2 linked regions of the Canis lupus familiaris genome follow. The protein of the gene in region 1 purifies or fractionates together with the protein of each later gene. This does not show direct contact. Links are inferred from orthologs where the notes say so. Each region holds a gene or a part of one and is shown in the gene's direction. Other genes may lie near its edges.

What was found.
Region 2: the proteins of CXXC1 (region 1) and BOD1 purify together in Homo sapiens (affinity purification with mass spectrometry; 4 studies listed by BioGRID and IntAct, counting the BioPlex papers as one, with this or other methods). This does not show direct contact. The link is inferred for Canis lupus familiaris from reciprocal best matches to the Homo sapiens genes CXXC1 and BOD1.

The regions. Positions count from the first base shown.
Region 1 is NC_049228.1:78,680,943-78,689,171, forward strand, and holds the start of CXXC1 (CXXC-type zinc finger protein 1), read left to right. Parts: upstream 1-3,335; 5' UTR 3,336-4,147; coding exon 4,148-4,150; intron 4,151-4,724; coding exon 4,725-4,843; intron 4,844-4,942; coding exon 4,943-5,043; intron 5,044-5,303; coding exon 5,304-5,539; intron 5,540-5,630; coding exon 5,631-5,825; intron 5,826-6,251; coding exon 6,252-6,278; intron 6,279-6,355; coding exon 6,356-6,601; intron 6,602-6,768; coding exon 6,769-6,876; intron 6,877-7,052; coding exon 7,053-7,237; intron 7,238-7,508; coding exon 7,509-7,716; intron 7,717-7,795; coding exon 7,796-7,906; intron 7,907-8,033; coding exon 8,034-8,083; intron 8,084-8,226; coding exon 8,227-8,229. UniProt on the Homo sapiens protein: Transcriptional activator that exhibits a unique DNA binding specificity for CpG unmethylated motifs with a preference for CpGG.
Region 2 is NC_049225.1:39,775,312-39,781,771, forward strand, and holds part of BOD1 (biorientation of chromosomes in cell division protein 1), read left to right. Parts: coding exon 1-30; intron 31-3,920; coding exon 3,921-4,045; intron 4,046-5,134; coding exon 5,135-5,330; 3' UTR 5,331-5,331; exon of another isoform or gene 5,332-5,403; intron 5,404-6,377; 3' UTR 6,378-6,460. UniProt on the Homo sapiens protein: Required for proper chromosome biorientation through the detection or correction of syntelic attachments in mitotic spindles.

The DNA.
Region 1 (8,229 bases):
AGTCACTGGATAGTCCAACAACGTGACTTGAGGTGATGACTTAAGAGTCATATTCTATCAGCGCTACCTCTTGATCAGACACATGGGCAGTCAACAGTACTGAGGTAATGGAACTCCAGTTAAGACTCTGGACACCAAGTCTCAAGTGAGCTTCCCTCGTTGACAATTCTCCATGCCTGTTGTCACATATTGTCCCTAAAAGCAACTAGCTCTATGATTCCTGAGGGACAGGGTAACTAGCAGCTCTGTATTTGGAACCTTTCCAGACCCTATCCTATAACAGATTTTAATTCTCTCCCTGTGATAACTGTGAGTACAACTTTCAGGGAGTTCTGTGAGTTCTTCTAGCCAATTAGTTGGGGACCTCCAAACCTGCAATTAGTGCCAGAAGTAAGCATGGTCTTGAGGAACCTTAAATTCTACAGTGATACCAAAGGGAAAAGCAGGGGGCACCTGGCTGGCTCAGTTGGTAGAGCAGGTGACTCTTGGTCTCAAGGTGATGAGTTTAAGGCCCATGTTGGGAGTAGAGGTTACTTATAAATAAATAAATACATACATACATACATACATAAATAGGAAAAGCAGTCTTTTGGGGACCATTCCTCATAATTTGTAGCATTTGTGCTCATGGGATATGTTGGCCTGTCATTTTCTTTTCTTGTAATATCTTTGTCTAGTTTAGTATCAGGTAAATGATTATGAAAATGAACTGGAAAGTATTTCTTCCTCATCTATATTACCTCAAACACTTTGTACAGGACTCATCTTTTTCTTCCTTAATATTTGAATTTACCAGTGAAGCTATTTGGGCTTGGAGTTTTCTTTGTGGGAAAGCTTTTAATTAGAAATTCAAGTAATTTTATCACTGCTTGGCTACTCAAAATCTCTATTTCTTCATGTGTTACTTTTTGGTAAGTTGTCTTTTTCAATGAATTTGTCCATTTTATCTAAGTAGTCAAATATATTGGGCAGCCCCCGTGGCGCAGCGGTTTGGCGCCGCCTGCAGCCTGGGGTGTGATCCTGGAGACCCGGGATTGAGTCCCACATTGGGCTCCCTGCATGGAGCCTGCTTCTCCCTCTGCCTGTGTCTCTGCCTCTCTCTCTGTGTCTATGAATAAATAAATAAAATCTTTAAAAATATATATATTTTGCATTAGGTTGGTATAAATGTGTGAATAATCCATTTTTAGTATCTATAAGATCCATACTGATGGCTCTTTTTGCATTTGCATTCATGAGGTAATTTGTGTCTTCTTACTGTTTTTTCTTAATTGAATAAATATTTAATAAATCATATTTTAAAATTACAGTAATTGAATATATGCTTAATTCAGTTTAGTTACATAACATTAGAAAGTAATGAATTGAGGTGTCTGGGTGCCTCAATGGTTGAGTGTCCTGCCTTCTGCTCAGGGCATTATCCTGGAGTTCCAGGATTGAGTCCCACATTTGGCTCCCTGTGAGGAGCCTGCTTCTCCCTCTGCCTATATCTCTGCCTCTCTCTGTGTCTCTCATGAATAAATACATCTTTTTTTTTTAAGATTTTTTTATTTATTTAAGACAGAGAGAGAGAGAGAGAGAGAGAGAGAGGCAGAGACACAGGCAGAGGGAGAAGCAGGCTCCATGCAGGGAGCCTGATGTGGGACTCGATCCCCAGTCTCCAGGATCATACCCCAGGCTGAAGGCAGTGCCAAACTGCTGGGCCATCCGGCTGCCCTAAATAAATAAATCTTAAAAAAAAAATTAATGAATTAGATGAATTTAAATTAATATTTAAATATGTTAATTCAAATGGGATTAATCAAATCATATTAAAGTATAACAAAGTAAACAATATTAAATTGAAATTAAATGATACACAATACTGAACTGAATAAATTGAATTGAATGAATTGAATCAATATTTTATTTTTTATTTTTATTTTTAAAAAATATTTATTTAGTTATTTATTTATGATAGAGAGAGAGAGAGAGAGAGAGGCAGAGACACAGGAAGAGGGAGAAGCAGGCTCCACGCTGGGAACCCGATGTGGGACTCGATCCTGGGACTCCAGGATCGTGCCCTGGGCCAAAGGCAGGCGCTAAACTTCTGAGCCACCCAGGGATTCCCCTGAACTAATATTTTAAATAAAATTAAATTTAGTAAGTCAAGTCAGTGATGTTAAATTAAATGAGTAATTAATTTAAGTTAAACTTGAACTATATTCCCTTAAATTTACTTTCATACATCAAATTGTAATTAAGTTAAAATTGAATTATTTGAAATTTATTGGTTAAATTTATCTGAGTATCTTACCAACACATGCATATTCATTTATACTAACTAAAGTTAATTTAATACATTAAATGAACTAAATTCGAAGAATTATGTTAATTAAAATAAGTTACAATCAAATTAAGATTAATTCAGTATTAACTAGAAAAAGGAGGCAAGTCTGGATCTGAAGGTCCACTTTGTGGATTAAAGACGGGCTTTAGGGGATCCCTGGGTGGCGCAGCGGTTTGGCGCCTGCCTTTGGCCCAGGGCGCGATCCTGGAGACCCGGGATCGAATCCCACGTCGGGCTCCCGGTGCATGGAGCCTGCTTCTCCCTCTGCCTGTGTCTCTGCCTCTCTCTCTCTCTCTGTGACTATCATAAATAAATAAATAATTCTAAAAAAAAAAAAGAAGAAGAAGAAGACGCGTTTTAAGGAGAGAGGGTCACACAGTCCATGATGCAGCTCCTGTGACTTCGGTTGTCTGTGACGGTGTGGAGGGGCCACGAGTAAAAATGTCTAGGAAAGGTGAAAACAAAAACAAAAATCAGACCCGACACCGCCCTCAGGAGAATCATCAGGAGCAAGTACGTTACTATGATGTCCAGAGCCAAGAAATCCAGAACGACTGTCAGCACCCGGTGACAAGTTTCATTTTCCCCAGGCCCCCCGCCCCCCCAACCTGAATAGAGTCGTGACCCTGAACGCGGACATTCCCTGTGACCCGGGCTCGCGCATCTGCTGGGGGTTGGGGCGGGGGCGCTGACCCGTTAAAACCCGCCCGACCGCTCAGGTTGCCTGAGTTACAGCCTGGCCTTAAGGACGTGTCCAGAGCTCCGACCTGTCCGGTTTTTTTTTTTTTTTTAAATGTACGGAGTCTAATTAAAAAATTGTAAGAACTAACTTCATAGGAGAGAATTGAGTATGTCTGATGGAAGAGAGCCAGAGTGGACGTCACGGGGATCCCGGCGAATCCACATCCCGGCGGTGGCGGGGTCAGGGGAAGACGCGGTGTAGCCGGTGTCTCGGGTTCCGGGGTCTGCTGTGGCTCGGCCCCTTGTCACCAGGGTCGGGCCCTTCACCTGCATCCTTCCGTTCGGAGGGTGACCGCGCTCCCGCAAGGGCCGAGGCTGCAGGGCGCCGGGCTGGGCTGAGGACCTTCGAGGAGGACCCGGGGCGCGAAAGGGTGGTGAGGATGACGTCAGACACAGAACGGGGGAACATGGGCACAGTCCGCTGGCGCCCCATTAACACACGTGGGAGGGAAACGTGAGTGAATGGAAGACGGAGTGTAACTCGAGGCACGTGGTGTTTCGGGAGCAGCCGCTTTTCCTTTGAACTTCTCTGCAGGGCAAGCCGCCATCGTACGGAGTCGATGCCAAAATGGCGGCGCCCTCCTGGAGACCGCGGGTAGGACGCTGCCATGCATTGCCCGTGAACGTACGGACTCGGCCATCTTACGGAATCAGTTTCCAAGATGACGGCATCTGCGTGGAAGCCGCGCACAGGCGCCGCCATATTTCCTGTAACGTTGAGTCCGTACGAGCGGCCACCGTACGGAGTCGGCCGACAAGGTGGCGGTGCCCTCGCGAAAGCGGCCACATAGGTGCGGCCATGTTTCCTACTAGTTTACGGCCCTGACCGCCGTACGGTCTTGGTCGTCAAGATGGTGGCGCCTGAGAGACCGTGGCGGCTCTAGGCGGCGGATCGACTTGTTTGGTGCGGAGCCGACGCATTAGTCCTGCGCAATAAGAGTACGGTGCCCGGGAGGCGCGACCAAAGCGGAAGTAGTTGTGGGCGCCTTTACAACGGCCGCGGACGCCGCCGAGAGGTCTGTGCGGGTTCGCGGGTCGCTGGCGGGGGTCGCAGAGGGGTGCGCCGAGAGCGGAGAGATGGTAAGTACGGGGCCGGGGAGGGTCGGCGGTAGGGGTCGGCGGGTCGGCGGCGGGGGGTCCGTGGGCAGACTCGGGGGGTCTGTGGTGAACCGTCAGGGGCGTCCGCGGGCGCTCGGGCGGGGGCCTGTGGGGAGCCTCAGAGGGGGCTGCGGGTGGAATGTCGGGGTCCGGGGTTCCGAGCTTGTTCCGACGTGTGAGCCACCTGGGAGTTTTGTGACGGGCCCCTGCGCGGCTCCGTGATGGAAGTTAGTGGGGACGCCTTTCGGCAGCTCGTCGGGGGCCCGCTCGGGGACTGCGGGGCGGCGGGACCCGGCGTCTGGGCTGAGCCTGCCCGGCGGCCCGTAGCGAGCGGGGCAGTCGGCGTCGGGCCGGCGGGGAGGCGCGAGGGGGCGGGGCTGCCCGGGCGCTAGTGACCGTGACCGCGACCGTGACCGTGAGCGGGGCGGGGCGGGAGGTCGGGGTGCCGGCGTGGGCCGGGCCGGGAGGGTCGCGAGGAGCCGCGGTGGGAAGCGTGGGCAGACGGTCGCGGTCTGTGGAGGCCGTGGTGGGGCTGCTCTAAGGCACCGTCCCGCAGGAGGGGGACGGCTCCGACCCAGAGCCTCCAGACGCTGGGGAGGACAGCAAGTCGGAGAACGGCGAGAACGCGCCCATCTACTGCATCTGCCGCAAACCAGACATCAACTGCTTCATGATGTGAGCCGGGGAGAGGCGGGCGGGCTGACGCCGGCGAGGTTGGGTGAGGCTGATGGGTGCGGCCCCTCACATCTGCACCACTCACCCCATCCTCTGCAGCGGGTGTGACAACTGCAATGAGTGGTTCCATGGGGACTGCATCCGGATCACTGAGAAGATGGCCAAGGCCATCCGGGAGTGGTACTGTCGGGAGTGCCGAGGTGAGGGGGCGGCCTGGACGGGGGGCACACCCACCTGCCTCCAGGGAGAAGCCTTCAAGGAGGGTGGGTCCCGGGCCGAGGGACTCGGTTTGTGGTGAGCTGCAGCGGAGACTCCAACGGGCGCTTGGCTAGAGCGTCCCCCAGCGGGGTAGCCCTGCCCCGGAGGAGTGACGGGGAGAAGGTGGGGGGGACCAAGATGAAGAGGAACCCTCCGAATCCCTCAGGGTCCACCCACCCTGGCCCCACTGTCTTCCCCACAGAGAAAGACCCCAAGCTGGAAATCCGTTATCGGCACAAGAAGTCACGGGAGCGGGACAGCAATGAGCGAGACGGCAGTGAGCCCCGGGATGAGGGTGGAGGGCGCAAGAGGCCTGCCCCGGATCCAGACCTGCAGCGTCGGGCGGGGTCAGGGACAGGGGTTGGGGCGATGCTTGCTCGGGGCTCTGCTTCGCCCCACAAATCCTCTCCACAGCCCTTGGTGGCCACACCCAGCCAGGTGAGTGGCTGCTGGGGCTGGGATAGGTAAGCTGAGCCTCCCGCAGGCCCCGTACACGTTCCTGATTTTTGTACTGGGCCTCTCCCCTCAGCATCACCAGCAGCAGCAGCAGCAGCAGCAGCAGCAGCAGATCAAACGGTCAGCCCGCATGTGTGGCGAGTGTGAGGCCTGCCGGCGCACCGAAGACTGTGGCCACTGTGACTTTTGTCGGGACATGAAGAAGTTTGGGGGCCCCAACAAGATCCGGCAGAAGTGCCGGCTGCGTCAGTGCCAGCTGCGGGCCCGGGTGAGCATGGGTAGAGCTGGGCAGGGCTGGGGGTGTCAGTGTGTCCAGGAAAGGCTCGTGGAGGCCAGGAGGGGGCAGGCTGGGCGGGTGAGCTGGGGCCTTGCTACACACAGACAGGTGGGAAGGAGCCTGGCCTGTGTAGGTGAACAGGGCGTGACCAGGTGTGTGGGGCTAGCAGGGGCATCCCCGACCCCAGGTGGGCAGGGCAGACCCCCCCCCCCCCCCCCCGGCCATTTTCAGCGGTCAGGCACGTCAGGGCAGGTGGAGCAGGGTTGAGCATGTCCTGGTGATGTGAAGCGGGGGTACTAGGTGTGTCTGGGAGGCAACACAGGGCAGTTGGTGGGCTAGGCTCTTGTGGGTGGGGCTAGGGCAGGGCCACCCTCCATCCACCTGGGGCTGACCTGGGCCTTCCTCCTGCCGGCACAGGAATCGTACAAGTACTTCCCTTCCTCGGTGAGTCCAGCCCCCCAGGGCGGGGCGGGGCATGCGGGCAGGGCGGTCAGGGCCAGTCCTGAGATTCTGCCCTGCAGCTCTCGCCAGTGACGCCCTCAGAGTCCCTGCCACGGCCTCGCAGGCCACTGCCCACCCAGCAGCAGCCACAGCCATCACAGAAGCTGGGGCGCATCCGTGAGGACGAGGGGGCAGTGGCATCATCAGCAGTCAAGGAGCCACCGGAGGCTACGGCTACACCTGAGCCACTCTCAGATGAGGACCTACCACTGGATCCTGACCTGTACCAGGACTTCTGTGCAGGGGCCTTTGATGACCATGGCCTGGTGAGCAGCCAGAGCGTTCCATGGTGGAAGGGTGGAGGTCACAGAAGCGGAGTTTCCGTGGTGAGGAGAGCTGGAAGATAAGGCGGAGTATGGAAGGCTGATCTGGGAACTGAGTGGGTGGGGTGGTCATGGGCGGGCAGGTGGGTCAGCATGTGCCTCACTTGCAGCCCTGGATGAGCGACACAGAGGAGTCTCCATTCCTGGACCCTGCCCTACGGAAGAGAGCAGTGAAAGTGAAGCACGTAAAGCGTCGGGAGAAGAAATCCGAGAAGAAGGTGATGGAGAGGGTGAAATGGGTGTGAGAAGGCAGAGGGCAGGGAAGGTAGGGAGAGGCAAAGATCAGGAGCTGGGTGGGGCAAGAGCCAGAAGTGGTGGTGGGGGCAGCGGGACACAGGGAACTGGGGCTGACTTTAACTCCACCCTAACCTGACCTGACTGCTTCGTCCCTTAGAAGGAAGAGAGATATAAGCGGCATCGGCAGAAACAGAAGCACAAGGACAAATGGAAACACCCAGAGCGCGCCGACGCTAAGGATCCTGCATCACTACCGCAGTGCCTGGGACCTGGCTGTGTGCGCCCTGCCCAGCCCGGCTCCAAGTATTGCTCAGATGACTGTGGCATGAAGCTGGCAGCCAAGTAAGTCATTCCTGGAGAGCACAAGGGAGTCAGGGAGTACAGGGCAGGGCATGGCTAGAGCCTTCTGTGTGTCTTCTCATCAGCTACCTGCCTGCTGCTCAGTCCGTGGTGCACCCGTCTATCTGTCCCTCATCTGCTTGTCTACCATCCAGTCACTTACTTATTCTTTGGCCGTTTGGTCACCCATCTCTTCTGCCGTTCTTGGATCACCCCACTTGTCTTGTTCCTTGCCACTTTCCCTGCCTGCACCTAACCCCCTGCCTCCCTGCAGCCGCATCTACGAGATCCTCCCCCAGCGCATCCAGCAGTGGCAGCAGAGTCCCTGCATTGCTGAGGAGCACGGGAAGAAGCTGCTCGAACGTATTCGCCGTGAGCAGCAGAGTGCCCGTACCCGCCTTCAGGAGATGGAGCGCCGATTCCATGAACTTGAGGCCATCATTCTTCGTGCCAAGCAGCAGGCTGTCCGTGAGGATGAGGAGGTGAGTGAGCACAGGCCCAGCGGCCCTGGACCCAGTACCCGGTCCTGCCTGGCTTCATTGTTCCTTCCACTCCACACAGAGCAATGAGGGTGACAGTGATGACACGGACCTGCAGATCTTCTGCGTCTCCTGCGGGCACCCTATCAACCCACGTGTTGCCTTGCGCCACATGGAGCGCTGCTATGCCAAGGTCAGGGTGTCACCCTGAGGGGGACTGTCATTGGGTCGTGGGGGAACAGATGGGTTATCTGGGGGTTGTCTCGGGAGGGCATGCAGCACACATCCACAGTGCCCTCCGTTTGTGCTCATCCCTCTAGTATGAGAGCCAGACGTCCTTTGGGTCCATGTACCCCACACGCATTGAGGGGTGAGTGTGGGCGCTACGTGGAGTTAGAGCAGGGAGGTTAAGGCTGGGGTCAGAAGTGGCATGTTGGGGCAGAATGGGCCTGGGCAAGAACAGATGGGTCCCCCGCCTTTCTCCCCACTACCTTCTATCTTCTAAACCTCCAGAGC
Region 2 (6,460 bases), on another chromosome or scaffold:
CGGGACTGCCTGGCCGACGTGGACACCAAGGTAGCCGGGGCCGGGCGTGAGGACGGCAGGGTCGCAGCTTGGCTTTTCTAAAGCAGAGAGAAAACCGAAAGATACTTTAAACCGCTTGAGGCAGTGCAGAAAGCTTCCGGAGTCGTGTACACGTGGTTGGGCTCCCAGCCCCATGACTGCGAGCGGGGCGGCGGTCCAGTCGTTGTGTGAACGTAGGGGGGAGAGCCTGCATCCTGTCTTTCCCAAGCTGAGACGTCTTTGAGCCCCTCAGTAACAAACCTCTGTGTGTTAAGAACGTTGGAGAAGACCAGTAAGGAAGCGAGAAGGCGTGAATGCGCCGTCGTCACCTGTGGTAGCTGCTAGCTATTGCTTCTTCCCGCTAGCTTAGTGATTTGCACTTTGGGTATCCAGTCGAATTAAGGTACGCCCTTAATTACCCTTTTACTCCAGAACCGACACCCTTTTACTCCACCGTGGCTCAAAGGGGATTTGGTGCCAATTTTAGATCCGAATGCCTCCTAGTAAAATGCTATTTCATGTTACTTGCCACAGCCCTGGGAATTCCATGAAGCCACGTGTTACCAGACATAACAGTAGTTGCTGGAATGTTCCATTCTCTCCCTTTTCAGAAGCTTTTCTAAGAAGATTAGGTTTGTCGGTGTAGGAGGCGCCGTTAACTCCTCTAGGGAAGTGATTTCTTCCTCTCTGAGAAAATCTGCCTGTCTAACAGGAGGATTGTGAACCTAAAATTACAACTCAAAGATAGGAAAAGACGTCCTCCATTTAGTCATTGACATTTACTGGCCTATAGCATGTGGGCTGTGTGGATACAGGAACAAGTAAGTCATTACCTGTCCTCAAAGCTTGTACTGTAGGGTAGAAAACTGACATGTGGACCTGAGAGTATAAACAGTAAGTGGTGCTAGAAGTGGTTAATGCTTAATTTTCCTTATGTGAGGTGTCTCAGATACATACCAACTGAGCTTCCACCATTCCCAGGACTCTGGGTATTCTTAACTTCCCATCACAAGTTCTCCACTCATATCTCTTATGTTCAGTTTTATGCAGCTAAATCCATGTAGTATGCATGTTATTTTAAAAAGAAACAGGGATGCCTGGGTGGCTCAGTGGTTGAGCCTTTGGCTCAGGACCTGATCCTGGGGTCCTGGGATCAAGTCCCACGTCGGGCTCCCTGCATGGAGCCTGCTTCTCCCTCTGCCTGTGTCTCTGCCTCTCTGTGTATGTGTCTCATGAATAGATAAATAACATCTTTAAAAAAGGGAAATCAGTATTGTAAAGCTGTTGGGGAAAGGAGAGTTGGAGCCTCCCCCCACATAACACCTTATATGTTCCTTCCATTAGCTACTGGGTGGTTTTAATTCTGGAAGACAGTGTGTTTTCAGACACTGTTGCTTTAGCTCCATGGTCTCAGTGTGACTCTTGGATCAGCAACACCAACCTCACCTGAGAATTTGTTAGAAATATATATTCTTAGGCTTAGGCCCTTTCCCAGACTGCTGAAATATTTGGGGGAAAATGTACTGATGATGTTTGTAATTTACTTTGCAATGCACCCAAAATACAAATAGAACAAACTGATAAGTGAATCAAGTGAGGGATAGATAGTGCAATAAAATGTTAATGGCAGGTACATTCTGTCCTTTCACTTCAAGAACTGAAGGGATTGTTCTATATTGTCAAGATCTTTTCGGGTTTGGGGATGATATTTGCTGTCCTTTGTCCTTTTTCAGTAAGCAGTAACTTATTTCAAACAGGGTAACGTATTTTCTTTTTTTTTTTTTTTTTTAAGATTTTATTTATTTATTCATGATAGTCACACAGAGAGAGACAGAGAGGCAGAGACACAGGCAGAGGGAGAAGCAGGCTCCATGCACCGGGAGCCCGACGTGGGATTCGATCCCGGGTCTCCAGGATCGCGCCCCGGGCCAAAGGCAGGCGCCAAACCGCTGCGCCACCCAGGGATCCCGGGTAACGTATTTTCAATAGCAGAAAGTATAATATCAGGACGCATAGTTCCCAGTTACAAATTAATTCTAGTTCCTTTAAGCAAAGGAGTGAATCTGTTGACTTGAGGAATGCAAGAAAGGACTAAATGAGCAAACTGGGGGAATCCCTGGGTGGCTCAGCGGTTTAGTGCCTGCCTTTGGCCCAGGGTGTGATCCTGGAGTCCCGGGATCAAGTCCCACATCAGGCTCCCTGCATGAAGCCTGCTTCTCCCTCTGCCTGCATCTCTGCCTCTCTCTGTGTGTGTCTCTCATGAATAAATAAATTAAATCTTAAAAAAAAAAAAAAAAAAAAAAAAACGAGCAAACTGCCAGAAGAGGGATGCGTTTGGAACCAAGGATGCTCCACAGGGGCTGTCTTTCATCTCTGCTCTATAACTCTTTTATTGTCACTGCAGAGTCATCCATTTGGTTACTAGTATTTTGATTACATCTTACATCTTCTTCCTATAGAAAAGGGCTCTCAACTCCTATTCAAAAAATCTCAGGGAACATCAGCATTGTCTTAGCATGGGTCAGGCACCAGCCTTGCCGTCAGGAGAACATGGCACCCTCTGCCGGACCTTTGTGAGGGAAGGAGGACGAGTTGCTAGGTAGATAGTACATGGGTGTTTGTGTGTCAATTCACTTGGCCGTTGGCAGAATCTGCATATAGAGTTGAAGCGTGCTGATTTGTCTATTTCATTTACCTGTTAGCAAACTTTTGCCTCGGTGACACTGCATAATAAACCAAATCACAATGGCTTAGGATAAGCGTTCATTCTCATGCTGCTAGGGTTACAGGTCAGCTGGAGTTCAGCTAACCTAAGTAGGCTTCAGCTGGGTGACTCAGGTGGCCTGGGTTTGGGTTTAGCTCGGCTATGTATAAACTCATCTTAGGTCCCAGGACATGCCCTCATAGACGGTCACTAGAGCACAAGAACCAAGCTAGACAGAGCACAACCACATCGAAGGTCTTCGGTCACTAGCACTCCATTGACAAGACCATATCGTGTTGCTAAAACTCCCAACTTCATTGGGGTAGGGAAGCAGTCCCTGCGCAGCAGGAGAACAGGGGTGATGCTTAACAGCAATGCTTACTGTTATTCTTGATTTGAAGAAGAGCAGCTGATTGTACCAGAAGGTCTTGGAGGCTGAGAACATATATTCCATGTGTTTATCAAGTTCCTTCTAATTTTGTTCTGATCATAGTTGGATATAAAACATTTGAGGCCGATAAATAGCTCAAGCTCCATTTTTGGACTTAAGCTGTGCTTCGCCTCAGCCTTTCCCAGTGTTCCATAGGCTTTGACTTTAGTCTCCTATTTTCATAGCGCCCTGAGGTTTGGGTGGCCCTACATTTTATACAGTATACTTTCCTGAGTCCTTATTTGTTGCTGAGATACCCTGTGAGGTAAGTGGGGCGTAGCATTTCAGGTTTACAAATGGAAATAACTGAGACTGAAAGGTTGGTGACTTGTTGAAAGTCAGACGGCCAGTTAGTGGTGGCTCTGGGCTAGAACCCAGTTCCTCTGATTTAGAAACAGACTAGGTCTGACCTTGGATTTGCCACATTTTGGCCATGTGGGCAAGTTGTTTCTTTTTTCTAAGTGTAAATTTCTTATCTCTAATATGGGGGCAGGAGAGAGTTCTGGAACCTCCCTGTACCATTACTTGGAAAGTAAGTAGGATGATAAAGCATCTGGCCTTGTGCCTGCCCACCATAAAGTAAGCTCTTGCATTGCTTGTTAATGTATGCTCTGCTGTGCTATGTGGGGTGATCTTCATAGGCATGGTGGAAGTGTCTCTAAGGTCTTAAAATCTACATTTCTCTGAAAAGCAGTATTCTTGAATGACTGATTTCTAAACTTTGGTGCATATAACTTCTTTCCTTGCCTCCTCTTCTTAATGTTTTAGCCAGCTTACCAAAACCTGAGGCAGAAGGTGGATAATTTTGTGTCAACACATCTGGACAAGCAGGAATGGAATCCTACAATGAACAAAAACCAGTTGCGAAATGGTCTGAGGCAGAGTGTGGTTCAGTAAGTAGAATTAAGAGTGAAAAGGCGATAATCATGTAGGATGCACAAGAAAGCTGATAGGCATCATTATTTGGTCAGGGTGAATGGCATTTTACAGCAAATCCCACACACAAGTCCTAGCAGTCCACCCTTTATTAAAGTTAAGGTTCAAGTAAGCAAAGGACTCAGCTGACATTCTTGCTAGTTTATCCAACCTCCTTAGACTCCTGTGTAAACTCTACCGGGTGCATTGAAAGATACTTCAAGTTGTGAAACACAGTTCTCTCTTGCTTGAAGTTTTCAGCATAGTCGGCACATACATAGGAGTTTTAGACCCAGATAGCAGTGTTTGGATCTTGGGCAAGAGGAGTTGGATCTTTAGTATCATAAGGAAATGGGAGTTCTACAAAATCTTTGAGTCCATATGGCCCTCTCACATGTAATGGCAGCTTTTAGGAAGGCATGGAGTCTTATTAAAGCATGGCCTTCACAGTAACAAATGGAACCTTAGTTAATAAGGTGCTGCTGATAGCTCATCCAAGTGACTTCTTAATGTTGCTGGGCATAAAAGTGGAGGCAGTCATGGAATATGGTGTCCTAAGATAAGTTTTTCTAATCTACTTGAGATCTTTTTTGCTCTTATTACTGGCACTCATGTTCAAGTCTTGATCCACTGAACTCTACTGGAATATCTAAAAGCTTGTGAAGCCTACCTCCTTAGGTATAGAAATATGAGGGAATTATGCTTAGTGAAAAAAACCAATATCAAAAAGAAGTATGGTGACTCCATATATGTAACATTGGTGAACAAAGTTATAGCAATGGAGACAAAAATAGTGGTTGCCTAGGGCTTTAGGGATAGGAGGAGGAGGGGAGTGAGTGTGACTTGAAAGGGGTAGCACAAGGGGATACTCTGGTGGTATGGGTAAGATCTTCATTACCTGCAGTTACGTGGTGAAATGGCACAGAGCTACGCATACAACAGAGTGTGGTTACATGTGTGAAAACTAAGGTTGGGTTGTACTGGTTATCATTTTTCCAGTTTGATATTGCACTGTCAGTATGCAGGGTGCACAGACCTTCAAAGAATGATCTTTTTGTTTCCACAAGGTCAGGGATGTTGGAAGCTGGAGTGGACAGAATCATTTCTCAAGTGGTGGATCCCAAACTAAACCACATCTTTAGACCACAGATAGAAAGAGCAATTCATGAGTTCCTGGCGGCCAAGAAAAAAGAAGCTGTGCCAGCGCCCCCTCCAGAGCCTGAGAGCCAGGACCCCCCAGCTCCATCCCAGGATGCTTCCTAAGGTCCGGTATCCCATCTTTTGTCCAGGAGCATTCATCTCTGACTTATAGATAAATAAAATGGATAGAAAAGGGGTAAGCCACTATTGGGGATCATATTCTTTATGTATTCAGAAAAGCATTTACTGCAGATAGACTTCACCTACTATTTAAAAGTCATTTTTTACTGAGAACTAATGAATAGCATTCTCCTGTCTTGGTATGAGTTTCTGTGCCACCAGAGCTAAACATTTAAGCTGTGAATAGATGCTTCATTAGAAATAGTTAGCATCTATTAGATGCTATTAGATGCATTAGAAACTATTAGAAATAGATTAGCATCTATTAGAAATAGATGCTTCATTAGAAAGCCTGGGATGATTGTTGTGCACAAGAGAAATTCAAAGGAAAGTTCTGTTTTTCTGAAATTGATAAAACAAGTCTCACGCCTGGACATGAATTAAACTTGGGCTTGCAATTTGAATATAAAGTCGAACAATGTATTAAAAAACGCCATCCTAAATAAGACTCAGTTTGCTTTAAGCCCTGCTGTATTTCCCTGTATTTAGGGATTATAGTTTACCAGTGACAGTTACCATGGGATTCTTGTGTTATATGCATACCCCTTCTAATTACATTTGGGATTTAATTTAATCTTAAAAGCCAGCTATAGATGCACAAAGCAATACTTTTTGCAGGCTTTGAGACATTAGTAAATATGAGCAGTGATCAGCAAGTAAGCAGTGGATTCTTACCTAGCCATTGTTAGTAATCTGTCCTCTCAGTCCATTTTGGTGTTCTGTTTGTAAGATTCATTAAGATGTTTATAATTTTTTATAAGAAAGCATCAATGAGTGAACAGAACAAGAGCATAAAGCTCGTGTGGGGCACTGCCTTAAGGGGAGGGGGGTTGTCTTTTTGTGCCTGTATTGGGGGAAAACCTCAGTTCCATTATGGAGTGTAAAACATTACCAGTCTTTAAGTTTAATTGTAAATTCCTTTAGAAGCATTAAAATCAAATGTAGTCTCTTATCAAAAAGCATTTTAATCTGATTCTCTTATCTTTTCAGAGTATGTCTGACACCTTTTGGAAGCTCCATTGAATTAACCGCGAAGAAATGGATTCGGTTACTTAAGAGTACAACTTCAGAAT